Canis lupus familiaris: one gene and its partners. The protein of the gene in region 1 interacts with the protein of each later gene in a pairwise test. Links are inferred from orthologs where the notes say so. Each region holds a gene or a part of one and is shown in the gene's direction. Other genes may lie near its edges. The genes, in order: ZNF277, GNGT1 and NUTM1.

Region 1 (4,741 bases):
AATAATTAAAATGTTTTAACTGATTGGCATGACTTGTTTGGACTGTGCTTTAAAAAGTAGTTGGATGTGGTGGGGGGAAGTAGTTATATTTCGAATACTTCAAAAGCAGAACATGATGAACTGAGACGAGTTTCAACAGTGTTCAAACTCCTATGAATAAGCCGTCTGTTTATAACTTCAGCCTGAAAGATTAAATAATTTATATGCTCACAGATATTCATTCCTTTTTTTAGGATGCTCACGAGTTTGATCTCCTCAAAATAAAGTCAGAACTTGGTAAGTTTGATTCAGAAGTTGTTTTCCATGATGTGGCATTTTTATACACCATCCTGTAAGCGATGCCTGTGTTCGGTGTCGTGATGGGAGGGTGCACAGCCAAAATGTGTCTCTCCACAGATGGTCTCAATGGGACCGCCTGAAGCGGTGATTCACAACCATTTTGAACTGTAATATTCAAGTACGGTTTTTTATTTCATATGGTCTTTCTTCTTTCCTACATATATGAATGCTTCAAATAAAATACAAGCTATCGGTTAGTATCCATCATAAATAAGGTGGAAGGGGCTAATGGAAAGACCATGGATTTTGATGTCAGACTAGAGTTCATATTCCAGCTCCAGCACTTACTGGCTGTGTGACATAAGGCCTCAGGTCAACAGAATGTGACAGGGAGTAGATAATGTATATAAAACACCTACTGTACTGCTTGGCAGTGTAGCTGGATTATTTATTTATCACAGATGTACCCAGGTGCATCATTCTCAGTATCCCTATGATGGAAAGATTAGGGGCATGAAGATGTAAATTACTGACTCGCTAATGGATCAAAGACAGTAGAAAGCCTACTTCCCATTCCTCAGTTCACTGACTGCTTTCCTAGACTCTGGTATGTGTTACTTTTCTTTGCTCTTCTTACAGACATGTATGTACGTCAAATGCTGGTTCTACCCACCCACTGGCTATTCAACCTTGGGCAGTTTCCTAATACATGGCTATGATAATACTACCTATGTTCTGCAAAAGCTAAACGTATTAATACATGGAAACTGATTAGAACAGTGCCTAGCACATAAGCCCTATAAAAGTATTGGCTGTTACAGTTTGGTATCTATTATTATGCTTTGTAATCAGACTGCCTCTTCAGGTTGGTTAATAAAGAGAAGTGACTCAGGCACTTGGGTGGTTCAATTGGCTAATTGTCTGCCTTTGGCTCAGATCATGATTTCAGCGTCCTGGGATTGAGCCCTGCCTTGGGCTCCACACTCAGTGTAGACTCTGCTTGTCCATCTTCTGCCCTCTCCCTGCTCATGTCTCTCTCTCTCTCTCTCTCTTTTCTCTTTCCCCCCTCTTTCAAATAAATAAAATCTTTTTTTTTTCTTTTTATTTATGATAGTCACAGAGAGAGAGAGAGAGGGGCAGAGACACAGGCAGAGGGGGAAGCAGGCTCCATGCACTGGGAGCCCGTCGTGGGATTCGATCCCGGGTCTCCAGGATCGCGCCCTGGGCCAAAGGCAAGGCGCCAAACCGCTGCGCCACCCAGGGATCCCAATAAAATCTTTTTTAAAAGAGAAAGAGAAGTGGCTCCTTTAAAAAATCATAACAGTGCAAAAATGAGTCTGACTGATTCTAAAGATTGTATAAACTGTTGTTTTCAGGATTAAATTTCTACCAGCAAGTGAAACTGGTCAATTTCATTCGGAGACAAATTCACCAATGTAGATGTTATGGCTGCCATGTGAAATTCAAATCCAAAGCAGAGTTAAGGACTCATATGGAAGAAGCTAAACATACATCACTGCTTCCTGAAAGAAAGACCTGGGATCAACCAGAGTGAGTGCTACTCAACCACACATATACTTCTTTACTCTATATCCCTTACTTGTTCCTTTATTCAATTTCTCCAAACTTAAATAAAAGAGAAATATGTGTTTATTTTTTTTTAAAAAGCAAAAATCTTAGAAAACTTTTTTTTTTTAAGATTTTACTTATTTATTCATGAGAGAGAGAGAGAGAGAGAGAGAGAAAGGCAGAGACGCAGGCACAGGGAGAAGCAGGCTCCATGCAGGGACCCCGATGTGGGACTCAATCCCGGGACTCCAGGATTGCGCCCTGGGCCAAAGGCAGGTGCTAAACCACTGAGCCACCCAGGGATCCCAAAAACCTTATTTTTAAAGGAATCCCCCTTTTGGGATCCCTGGGTAGCCCAGCGGTTTAGCGCCACCTTCAGCCCAGGGTGTGATCCTGGAGACCCAGGATCGAGTCCCACATCGGGCTCCCTGCATGGAGCCTGCTTCTCCCTCTGCCTGTGTCTCTGCCTCTCTCTCTCTCTGTCTCTCATGAATAAATAAATAAAATCTTTAAATAAAAAAAGGGGGATCCCTGGGTGGCGCAGCGGTTTGGCGCCTGCCTTTGGCCCAGGGCACGATCCTGGAGACCCAGGATCGAACCCCATGTCGGGCTCCCGGTGCATGGAGCCTGCTTCTCCCTCTGCCTGTGTCTCTGCCTCTCTCTCTCTGTGTGACTATCATAAATAAATAAAAATTTAAAAAATAAAAAAATAAAAAATAAATAAATAAATAAATAAATAAATAAATAAATAAAGGAATCCCCCTTTTATATGTGTCACTAACTCTCAGATATTGTGGCATGAAGATAAAGATGAGGTATAGATTTTTTTCATTATAGTTTATTAACAATATTGTAAGCATTTTTCTATATCAATACATATCAGTTGCATTATTTTTAATGATTGCCAAATATGCCATTCAGTAGATATACCCTAATTTGCTAGATACTGAGGTTTGTTTCTTGCATTTTACTCTTATGAATAGTAATACAATGAGTATCCCTATGCCTATCTTATTGCACACTTACCCAATTTTTCATTTAAATAAACTCCTAGAAATAAAATTACTATGTCAAAGCACAACTATTAGAGCTTTTGGTATATATTTTGCATCTTAGCATTTTATAAATGTTAGGCAGTTGGTCCACTGATCCGTACCTACACAGAAATAACAAAAATTACTTTGTAGCTATATTGGAACAATAAATATAGCCTATAAAAAGTATGATACACTCTGTGTTTTATCAGGAAAAAGAAATCCTACAGTGGGGATGTGTTCTTCAAAGGGCATCGAGCCTAATCTATAATAGTACTTAAACAAATTTTTTAAAGATTTTTATTTATTCATGAGAGACACAGAGAGAGAGAGAGAGAGGCAGAGACACAGGCAGAGGGAGAAGCAGGCTCCTTGGAGGGAGCCTGAGGTGGGACTCAATCCTGGGACTCGAGGATCACGCCCTGAGCCAAAGGCTCAACCACTGAGCCACCCAGGCATTCCCAGATTGTGAGTTTTATGGGTACATCAAGTATAGGCTGAATGGGCAGCTAGCAAGGATGCTAGTGAGATTGACGTCAGCCAGTAAAGGTTAAAGTAAAAGTAATTCCAAAGTTGACACCCATACCACCTTCGCAAAATGCTGTTGGAATTGTGGGCAAGGAAACTTAGCAGAATTAATGTGTATGTTCAACTGCTAGAAACTTTTCTGGATATTTTATAGTTTGATTATTCACTGTATCTGTGGTTGTTTTCAGGTATTATTTTCCAACCTATGAAAACGACACTCTACTGTGTACACTGTCTGATAGTGAAAGTGACCTGACGGCTCAGGAACAAAATGGAAATATTACCATCATCAGTGAAGATACATCTAAACTGCATGCTTTGAAACAAAGCAGTATTTTGAACCAGTTGCTACTACATGAGGGCTTGAAAAACTAGAAGAAAATACCACAGAAGCAACTTTTCATGTTTTTCTCTTATGAGACAAACTCAGAAAAATAGTTTAAATTTGAACATCAGCAAAGGGTTAGTCCTTGGTGAAACAAATTTTTTTAAAAATACTTTTCAAAAAATAACCTGAGGACTTTTTGTATTTTTGGCTGTAAAACTCTACTATATGATCATTATAAGTGATCTCATTTCATTATACTTGATTGATTATCTGTAATAAGAAGGACCTGCAGGGTACCTGGCTGGCTCAAGTGGTTGAGCATGTGACTCTCAATCTCCAGGTATGAGCTTGAGCCCCATGTTGGATGACGAGATTATCCCCCCCAAAAAAAGTTTTTAAATAAGGAAGACATACAAATCACAAAGAAATGAAATGTTCAAATTATTTATAAAGTTAATTTCAGCCAGTAATTTCAATTTCCTCTCCCACACTCTTTCTTCATCCAGCAAGTCACAAAATTTGACTATTTGTGTAAACTGTAGAAGTAGTGACCAAAAGAAAGGAAAAATGGTCAAAGACCTGGAGAATGTACAAATTGGAAACTATTTCAGAAAAGTCAAGATCTGACTCTATTATTATTACTGCTTTCTGCCTAATGTAACCAAACTCCCTATAACTGGACATCAAGCCTCTTGTCTTCTGCAATGCATATATCACTAACAGATCAATGCCATTTTTAAAAAACAAACACATACCATTATGACATCTAACAAAATTAACAATAACTTCTTAATATCTTATGTTTTCAGTTTTCCCTAGTTGTCTCAAAAATGTCCTTTTGAGTAATATCGGTTATAGGAAAAATATTGTATGTTTCCTGATTAGATGCACTGAGGAAGAGAAAGCATCATGCTTGAGGAATTCTTCAAAAAATGCATAATGTAAATATAACAAAGAGATAGTAGTCAAACCCAAGTTGAGGGACAGTCTACAAAATAATCAG
Region 2 (5,309 bases), about 33 Mb from region 1:
CCCAAACGGTATCCCTTAAGAGCACTTATAAAGCTTATAAAGCTTTTCAGCAAGTGACATGTAAGGCAGCACAGTTTGAAAGTCTAAAGGTACAGAATAAGTGAGTAACCCAGCTAACATATACTGAACACTTGTTCTGTGCTACATGCCATTGCATAATCTTTATTCCTCTCAAGAAATCTACAATGTAGGTAATCATATTGCTCCTATTTCCTAGTAAACTGAGAAGTGAAGTAACTTCATCAGGGCCACACACCTAGCAAGAGCAAATGAGTGATCATTTTATTAGCAATAACATGGTAGGGAGTCTCTAAAACAGAGAAGTGAAATTCTAAGCCTTATTCCAGATCAAAACGTTTAGATTGTGCTTATATTTTAATAAGTTCCTAACATGATTCTTATACACACTGAAGTGTCAGAGCCTTTGCCAAGTGGAATTAGTTTTCTGAGATGGAGAAAAAATTGTGCAAAGGATAATGTCAACAACTAAAAATGATCAGCAAAGGTAGATATGCTTGTGAATGGTTACAGATGGTCTGAAGGCAGTGAGAAGGAAAGGAAGGATACACCTGCACATGGGCTCTCCAATACTACAATATATACTAAAATGTATATTTCCCCAAGAATATCAGTCCATTATAAGATTGAGAAGGGAAATAATATTTCCTCAAAGGTTTTGGAAATGATAACATGATGTAAATACAAGGAAATACATTAATTTCTGATAAGTTATTAGCAGAGTATTTTTAGGTAAATGTGTAATGTTGTTTGCTGAAATAGCATGTGACTTAAATATGTCTACTTTCATAAAAATATGTCATTATAAAAATTGGACTGGGGAGACAAAGGAGAAAAACAGAAGACCAAAAAAGGAGAGATTATATGTGTGATGCCACTTGGCTACAATGAAATATTTTCCAGACAATTGCATGTGGGTACCACCAGCTACTGAACCATCTTCCCCCATTGATCTAATTAAGAAGAAGAGATTGCTGAGAGTGCAAATCTTTCTTTTACAATGTACATCAGTAGACCAGACCCACTGTGTCACATTTAACCTGCTACATTTGCTCATCATTGCTTTCCAATGCATTGTGACAGTTATACACAACTTCCAGGTATTGTTTAGAGACACATCCTAAGTAAATATGCTAGTTTATTTCTGATTAGTGAGGTTGTTTGCTATATCTCCACTCTATTGGTTCATATTTCATAAAATCTATTATTTATAGAGAACTTACAATGACAGTTTTTGTATAGTTCTCTGTTAATACCAGATTAAATACTTTAGCGATTTAGGGGATTAATGGCCAGTCCTCAAAATGACCTCAAACTAACTTAAATGGCATAAATCATATGATGGAGGGGTTTGGTGCTGGAGATGAGGGTCAGAAACCCAAACTTTTACACTATGCAAAAAAAAAAAAAAGAAAAAGCAAGGAAGAGAGGCTTTGGATGTTTAAGATTATATACTGACTAAACTGACCTCTCCCCACAAACCTACTAGCAGGTGTTTAGAGTCAAATGCTTGGTTTAATCATATTAGTGAAGATTATAAAGAGCTTTAAAGTTGCAAGGCTAGTGTGCAGTGCTAGAATTGTTCAGAGACCATTCATAAGAAATCAGTTATCATAGAAAGCTAAAGCAAAGAAACAGTTCACTTAGTAAGTTAAGTGCTGAGGGAAGGGTTGGCTAATATTGACTGAAGCATGCCCAGCAATTTGGGTATATGAATTGTCTATTTTTTCAGCAGGCAAAAGATGCCAGTGATTAATATTGAAGACTTGACAGAAAAGGACAAATTGAAGATGGAAGTTGACCAGCTCAAGAAAGAAGTGACCCTGGAAAGAATGCTGGTAAACTGCTGCTCTCTTTTGAATTTTATTTTAAACTATAGATATGGTAGAACTACCAGGTCAGAAACTGTTGCAGGGGAGCAGAATTTGCCACCCCAACATATACCTCCTTGACATAAGTATTATTTTAGGCTGATTATTTTTAAGAAACAGCAAATATTAGAGAATATCTGGAAATTAAGTAAAAGTTGCCCTTCTGTAAGAGATATTTACAATTATAAGACAAGTCTCTATTTATAAGGGTATCTCCCTCTCTATACCAGGAAGAGAAGAATGACTCTAAATCTTTAGAACCTCTTATAATTAGAGAAAGCTAAGACTTAAATATGGTTGATGTAAGTGGAATTTTACTGACTACTTTTCCTGAAAACCTCCCATAATTGGCTTTCCCCCACCCAAGTTCCCAATATCTTTTGTCTTCAGCTGGAGATGATGTTTAAGGGGGTGTCTTAGGCCATTTCAGAGAGTTACTTTGTTTTCTTGGGTCTCTCCTATGTACACAAGAGGTATACATGCTATTAAATTTCTATGTGTTTTTTCTCCTATTAATCTGCCTTTTTTACTAACAGCAGTGTCTCAACCAAGAGCCTAAAAGGGTAGAGGGAAAATGGTTTGTCCTCCCCCATGCCATTCACTGGAGAGGCTCAATGTAGTTAAAAATGAGTGGTTCAGGTAAAAAATTCATCAGGTATTAAGAAAATTAATGATCATAATTATCTCTTGACTTAGACTCTAGAAGTTTGGCAAATTATTTTCCATGGGCCAAATCCAGCCCTTAGCCTGTTTTTTTTGTTTTGTTTTTTGGTTTTTTGTTTTTTTAATGACCACTAAACTAAAAATGTTTTTCTGGTTTTGTGGAGTTGTCTTAAAAGAGAGAGAGAGAGAAAGAAAAAGGAAATGAAGAATGACACCAAGACTGTATTTTAAGCAGTAAAATGAAGCAATGCATATAGGCATTTTGTTTTTACTTTTCTAAACTGATAAGCTTCTCTTTATTTAATGCAATACTTTGATGTTTAAATACTTTTAGCCAAGACCTCATCTCCTCCAGCACTGTCATGGCTAGTCTGAATGAGTACATTCTATTCCTTCTTTGCAAATAAAAATGAGTTCAAGCACAAGAACTCCTTCATTCCTCCTAAAAACATCTAACAGATCTTGGAAATGGTTACCAAGAGTTCTCTGCCATTAAAAGGAGAGAAATGGCAAAGGAATAGGCTTCCTCCAAACAAACAGTGACTGAAGCTTGGAAAATATAGATACGTATTTTAGATCTCTTCATTTTAGGAAAGTAAGTAGAACAAAAACTCCTCCACGAGTGATAAGAGTATCTCATATTTTTTCAAAAAATCATTTTATTAAGCCAAAGCGGAAAAAAAGGAATTTGTATTATCTTCATACTTTGCTCAAGACTCTTACTCCCAATAATAATTGGAATTTTGGCTTCTTTTCTATTTATGATTGTCTCAAACTTCCCTGTTGCTCTTTCCATACAGGCAAAACATTTTGATGTAAAAATAAAATTAAATATATACACAGCACCGGAAGCTTGGAATGCATAACAAAACAGTTAAAATCTTTATCTTTATAATTTGGGAAAAATAAACTTTTGGGATAAATAAAGGAAAGTTATTTTTTCTTCCTGACTTGAAAAATCCAAATGCTGTTTCATTATTTATTTACTCAGGATTGTTGTTTTGAAGGCAATTTGATTATATTCATGTTTATTATTCATTTGTGGCAAGCTTATCTGGGAATTTTTATTTTGTGTAAACATCACATACATCACCACCTATCAGTTTGGGGGTCCTTTTCCCTGCTACTCAAAAATCTTCTTGCATTTGGAAGTCAAACTAACTTAATATCAGACTGCCAAAACTACACACACACACACACACACACACACACACACACACATTTTAGGTCCTGAACTTATAGTTCTGATGCAGGATGGCATAGCGTCCTTATAGTATGGTCCAGGTAGACACTGGAACCGTATCCCTGGTTCAGATTCTACTTCATAGCTTTCTCCCTGTGGAACACTCACCTGAGATATATTCTGCAAAATGGGAATAGTAACAACATCTAAGTCAGAGAGCAATTGGGAGGAATAAATGGAATAATATATACAAAGCTCAGAGAACAATACTTAGGACGTAGCAAGTACTTTCCACTATTATTATTACTTTTTAATTATTATATATATTTTAATTATAATATATATATTTAAATATATATATATTTATATATATACATATCATAGTTCATACTATGCCTCAACCTATTTTGCTATCAAGGAACTAGTACTGTCAGAATAACACATCTCATTGCATACAGTTTTTAAAGCTGACAGACTTACAATGACTGCATGTCAATGCAATAGGCAAAGACTAAAGATAATCTTTGTAGTAATAGCCAAAAATAGCTACCATTTGATCTAGCATTTGTTGTATGATAGGCACTTAATGCAACCAGTGTTGTTCTTCCTTTTTCATAGACAAAGTGACTAAATTGTAGAGGAACTCTCTTAATAAATGATGATAAACAGCCGATCCAACATTCAAACCGGGGATGCCCTGAATCCAGTGTCCATGCTTTCCACCATGCCATGTAATCCTATATTAAACTATAAATACTTATAGTAAGCCTCACTGAAGTAATTTTTGAACACACACTCACATAGGATTTTAGGTAATTTATTGCTCCGTATAGCCTCGGATCCTAGGTAGACATTGTCAAAACCACCCCTCACTGACTGTAGAATTAGGACAGCAATTAAGCCTCTATTCCTGACACCTGGTTGGGGCCAAAGCAGTTGGTGTTTGGAGAAGTGGGATAAAAGCAAACCTAAATCTTAATTTTGAATTTTGAGAAGGAAAAAATGTGAATCTAAATTACTGCATATTTCAGAATTGTGTATAAACTACAAGTATCATCATATGAAGAAGCCACCCAACCAATGCCTTGCTCCAGTTAGAAATGACGTTTCCTAATATGTCGATAATGAATTTGCAGAGTTATAATCTTATGTTTAATGTTCCTGGAAATTTGCATACAAAAATCGCATAAATATTTTATTTAAAAAAAAAAACAATAAATCAGTTAGATAGCTTATGGAATGGTCACCTAGTGGACTGCCAGAAGTGAATTAGTTTCACGTCAATGTCATGAATTGTAAGTTAAGTGAAAAGTTGAAAGTTAAAGGAAATGAATTATTTGCTCTTATGTGTATATACACATTTATATTTATGTATGTTATAGAACCTTGATTCTTTCTAAAACGTGTATTAAGTGGCACATGGGCCATTTAAGCTCTGGCTGAGTCCATTAAAATACTAAAGCCTGGTTTTTCATGAAGTCATTACTACAATGGTACAGATGATTGAGGAGCAAGTTCAAAAACACAAATAATGATGTAATGTAAACACAAATACTTGTTTACTGAGCACCAGC
Region 3 (4,741 bases), on another chromosome or scaffold:
CACCACACAGCCTTTCATCCTTTCATTAGACATTCATTTGGGTCAGGGAGTGCCTTTTTTTTTTTTTTTTTTTTTGAAAGTAAGAGCCTTTGGGCAGGGTTAAGCCTACTTTACCGTGAATCCACTGCTTTAATAAGTGCTTTAACGCTTATTATATTATTATATTATATTATTATAATAAGTGCTTTAACAAGTGCATTCTTCCTAATGTTTAGTCAAGAGTGGCACTGTGAGGACTGGGGTGCTTGATTTCAAACTTTGGGGGTGGCGTGGGCAGACTCAGTCATCTGATCTTGAGTGAGATTTGAAGATTTCAGCAGGAAGAAAGTCCAGTGTGGTCGATGGATGGATGGGAGGTTGGGGGTCTGGAGGTCCAACAAGCCGTGGAGCGTGACAAGGATCGGGAGGCAACTTAGATCTACTGAGGGACAGTGGGGTATGTTGAGGTGTTTGTGAGGACGGGTGGATTGGGGGTCCACTGTGGAACGTGACTGACCTGATGGGGGTTTTAGCCCTGTGCTTCGCTCCCTGGCCCGGCTGAAGCCTTCTATGACCCTGGAGGAGGGACTGCCAAGGGCTGTGCAGGAGTGGGAGCACACCAGCAACTTTGACCGGATGATCTTTTATGAGATGGCAGAAAAGTGAGTCTGAGCAACCCCCATTCTCCTGAGGGGTGCTGGGAGGCTGAGGGACAGGGGCATGGGTGATTATTAAAAGGGGTGCCAGGAGGACTGGTGTAGACTAAGGTGGGGCCTCCTGGATTTTCACGGCTTCCACCACCTTGACCCTCGGGTTTTCCTGTCCTCCCTTGGGAGCTCCCCCTCCTTCAGATCCTGAATCATACAGGTCCTTGATACTGAAGCTCCAAGAATGGGGTTGGGGTCTAATTGGTGTAAAAATGCCTTGCCAAAGGGACCTACCCATGGGGAGGTGAGCCCTCCGAGGCAGGTTCTCTCCTGTCTCACTGACCAGCTAGCTAGTGGCTGCTGATGCAGACCTTGAGACCACTCCTCCTCTGGAAAAACTGCCACAGAAATCCCCATTATCCCAGGGAGAGCCTGGTGCGTGTAGAGCTTGGTCAGGCCAAGGTCCTGGATGCCCGCAGTGGTCTTCTGGTTCTCCATGATGGTCTCCTTGGTTAAAGAAGCAATTCTGAGGAAAGTTAACCCTTTCTTCTGAAGCTTGGTTTCCATTTCTTCCCTTGTAGACCTCTTAGAATTAGTGTTCCTGGCCCCCAGGCCCGGCCTCAGGACTTGGGTCTCAGCACTGCCTCCTGGTGGGAAATGCCTTGAATTGCAGCCCCCCGGGCATTGCTTTAGGATTTCAGGCATCCTTTGTGGCTGTAGGTGGAGGCAAACGGAGCCTAGCCGCCTAGCCGGGCTGGCAGTAGGGACCCTGTTGGGCCTTGGCCGGAGGCTATATTAAGGCTGTATTAATTGCCGCTGGATACACTCCATGATGCTGGGTGAGATCAGGGATGACATAGAAGTGAAAGCCGTGGCTGTGTCCTGGAGAAGCTTGACAAGCTCTAGACCGTTCATTTATCTCAACAAGTTTCCTAAGTGGTGGCTGCTGGTCAGGGATGTTGTGAGGTTTGCCCAGAATGGTTATTGGGGTCTCTGTGAGCAGCACCCTCCCGGTGTCTGGCCTCCTCGGCACTGTCCAGGCCTTCCTCACCCTCTGCAGGTTCCTGGAGTTTGAGGCTGAGGAGGAGATGCAGATTCAGAACACGCAGCTGACAAGTGGGCCCCAGGGCCTGCCTCCTGCAGCCCCTCTGAAACTCGACCCTCCGGGGCTTGTGGCCCCTGAGCTTAGCCAGCAGCCAGGTGAGGCTCCCCACCTCCAACAAGGGCCATGGACCAAAGGCTCAGAGTGGGGTGTGCACAGAGCAGGCGTGCATTAGGGGAGGCGGCGCCCTTCTGCTCTGAGGTTCCACACAGGACACACGTGCACAGCAGGCTGGGTCTCTGGGTCCCTTCGTCCCAAACTTTTTTTTTTTTTCTTTTCCTTCGTCCCAAACTTTGACCTTGGCCCAGTGAACCCATGGCTCTCTAAGTGAGACGTACATGACTGCATAATAGCTCATCTGCCTGGGAAGTGGGGGCTGGGTCAGAGGACGTCTTGGAATCTCAGGGCTTTCCAGATGCCTCAAACAGTGCTTCTCTGAGAGCCTCTGGTCCTCTCCCGGGCCGGTCCTGCTTCAGGCCGGGCCTAGCCCATGACCATCACGGCGAACCCGGATGGCTGCCCCAACTGACCCAGGGTGGGAGGCAGAGGCCATGGCCCCTCTGCCTCTCCCCATCCCTCTCCCACCCCTCTAGTGTACATTCCCAAAAAGGTGGCTCCCAGGGCACGCGCCCCCCGCCGGCGGCAGCGCAAACCCCAGAGGCCTGTGGTCCCTGAGGCGCCCAAGGAGGTCCCGCTGGAGGCTGTGAGGGAGTACACTGACATCGTGGAAGGGCTGCTGGGGGCGTCAGACTGGAAACAGGACGACGAAGAAGAGCAGCAGCAGGACGAGGAAAGGATGTGTCCCGACCCAGGCCTTCTCAGCTACATCGACGAGCTTTGTTCTCAGGAGGTCTTTGTCTCCAAGGTGAACTGAGTCTGCAGTCTGGTTTCTGGTGGAGCCTGGGGTGGAAACCAGGGAGCTGAAGACCCCGGGTTTGGCCTGAGGCAGTGAGGAACTAGGCAGTCTTCCTGCTGAGAGGTGGCCGTGACCGTGTGCCACTGGCAGTGGTCAGGGTTAATGACAGCCCTGGGTGGGGTGGTGGTGGGGTCAGGGACACGTGGCTCCTCTTGAGCCTCTCGCTTCGCAGGTTGCTTCCCATCAGGACTCCCATTATTTTTCCTGTGTTTCCCCAGGTGGAGGCCGTCATTCATCCTCGATTCCTGGCCGACCTGCTGTCCCCAGAGCAGCAGAGGGACCCGTTGGCCTTAATGGAGGAGCTGGAGCAGGAAGAAGGACTCAGCCTTGCCCAGGTACACCTGGGAGGTAGAAGTGTCACAGTAGGAAGCTTGTGTGACTATGTCTAGCCCTACTCTGTCCTGGATGGTGGAACTCCTGGAGATGGACGGCCCCGGGGTTGGGGTTCAGGTTCAGGCCAAGCAGGCAAGACATTGTAGACACTCAGGGATGGGGAGCAGGTGTGCAGGATCAGAGCATGGGGATGCAGCCCATAGGCGCAACAGGAGCGGTGGCATCTGGTTTTAGTGCTGGGACCTGTACCACTTGCTGGCATCCCTGCCCCACACAGTACTGTCTCCTCACTGCCCCTAAGAGAGCCCTTCTCCCGGCCGCCTGGGGGACCATGTCTCCCTGATCTCCTTCTAGCTGGTCCAGAAGAGGCTCCTGGCCTTGGAGGAGGAGGATGCGGAGGCCCCTCCTAGTTGCAGTGGAGCTCCGTCGGACTCTAGTCACTCTGGTTCGGACGAGGATGAAGATGGGGGTGGGCGGCTTCGGCCCTCCCCTGGGCCTCGGGTTGCTGGGGGTGCTGTTCACTTGGGAAAGGCTGCTTCTCCAGGGGAGCGGGCTGTCGATGGCCTACAGGAGGTGCAGAGAGATGGGAATGCCGTGCCACCCCCCAGCAGCTGGGACCTGCAGCTGGACCTTCCAGCTCCACAGGGGCCTCGAGGGTCCAGAAACATGGAGAAGAGAGGGGCCAGGAAGGTGACAAATCAGATGTCCCCACATGGGGTTGACCCTCTAGGAGGTGTCATGTCACTGGGGCAGCCCCTGGTGGTTGACAGAATTGCCGAGACTCTGCCCCTTTGTTGGCAGGGAAGCCCCCCACCTGACCTGGGTTCCGGTTTGGGCGTGCGACTTGTAGAGCTGGCTCCTCTGCAAGGACAAGGGTCAGAAGAGCAGGTCCTGGGGCTGCAGACAGGACAGGGGCTAGGGGGGCCTGCAGTGCTTCCTCAAGAGATGGAGCCGTGTGCAGTGCCCCAGAAAGGCTCTTCAGGAGCCATGTGGGGGGATGACAGAGGTCCTCCGGGGGTTTCCAGTTACAATGAGAACCCCTCCCCCAGAGCGGCTGGTGACAGGGATGGGGATGTAGTCTCCCTCAGTCGGGGACTTTGGCTGAGCAGTGAGCTGGCCGCCGTGGGCTTGGAGTTGCCCTTACAAATGGAGGAGGTCATAGAGAACTTCCACAGCAGGGAGAGTGTCACCGAGCATCAGGGAGGCTGCCGGGCAGGGGGCTCCAGCAGCAGCAGTTCCCAGGGTCCTGGAGAAACCGTGGCACCTGGAGACGAGGGGGGCAGTGCAGTTTCCTGCGGAGGCACAACTGGCACGTCTGCCCTGCAGAAGAGAAACGACTGCAGCCTGCCGGGCCCCCTGGGGGCCAGCAGCCCATCCTTGAGGCCTAACGTAAACTCAGAACAGGGCCCTGAGGCTGCCGGGGATCCCAGTGGTCTGTGGGTGGAAGGGTGCCCCCCTTTGCCGGAAGGTAGGCTCAGTGCCCCCACCCTGGGACCTCCCAGAGAAACCCTGCAGCCCGCGTGTCCCGGCAACGTCCTGGTGCTGGGGGCCCAGGGTGTCCCCTCCTTTCCCCAGGCCGCCCTGGGGGCGGGGAGCGGAGGCCGGTCCCGGTCTCCTGTGTTGGAAACCACAGAACAACACGTCCACCTACTGGGTATTGGAGATGTCTGCGGCCTCCAGCTCGGGGGCCCTGGAGGCCGTGAGGACACCAGCCCCCCGAAGTTTACTTCCTCTGCCGCCCGGGGCCGGGTTGGGGAGGGCGCT

Evidence for each region.
Region 2: the proteins of ZNF277 (region 1) and GNGT1 interact in a two-hybrid assay, tested with the Homo sapiens proteins (3 studies listed by BioGRID and IntAct). The two-hybrid records come from large-scale screens. The link is inferred for Canis lupus familiaris from reciprocal best matches to the Homo sapiens genes ZNF277 and GNGT1.
Region 3: the proteins of ZNF277 (region 1) and NUTM1 interact in a two-hybrid assay, tested with the Homo sapiens proteins (2 studies listed by BioGRID). The two-hybrid records come from large-scale screens. The link is inferred for Canis lupus familiaris from reciprocal best matches to the Homo sapiens genes ZNF277 and NUTM1.

Annotation. Positions count from the first base shown.
Region 1 is NC_049235.1:52,076,634-52,081,374, forward strand, and holds part of ZNF277 (zinc finger protein 277), read left to right. Parts: intron 1-233; coding exon 234-276; intron 277-1,655; coding exon 1,656-1,830; intron 1,831-3,598; coding exon 3,599-3,785; 3' UTR 3,786-4,741. UniProt on the Homo sapiens protein: Probable transcription factor. Involved in modulation of cellular senescence; represses transcription of the tumor suppressor gene INK4A/ARF, perhaps acting via the Polycomb group (PcG) complex PRC1.
Region 2 is NC_049235.1:19,373,679-19,378,987, forward strand, and holds the start of GNGT1 (guanine nucleotide-binding protein G(T) subunit gamma-T1), read left to right. Parts: upstream 1-1,606; 5' UTR 1,607-1,664; intron 1,665-1,750; 5' UTR 1,751-1,760; coding exon 1,761-1,856; intron 1,857-5,309. UniProt on the Homo sapiens protein: Guanine nucleotide-binding proteins (G proteins) are involved as a modulator or transducer in various transmembrane signaling systems.
Region 3 is NC_049251.1:1,027,091-1,031,831, reverse strand, and holds part of NUTM1 (NUT family member 1), read left to right. Parts: intron 1-512; coding exon 513-641; intron 642-1,686; coding exon 1,687-1,826; intron 1,827-2,321; coding exon 2,322-2,593; intron 2,594-2,862; coding exon 2,863-2,979; intron 2,980-3,331; coding exon 3,332-4,741. UniProt on the Homo sapiens protein: Plays a role in the regulation of proliferation. Regulates TERT expression by modulating SP1 binding to TERT promoter binding sites.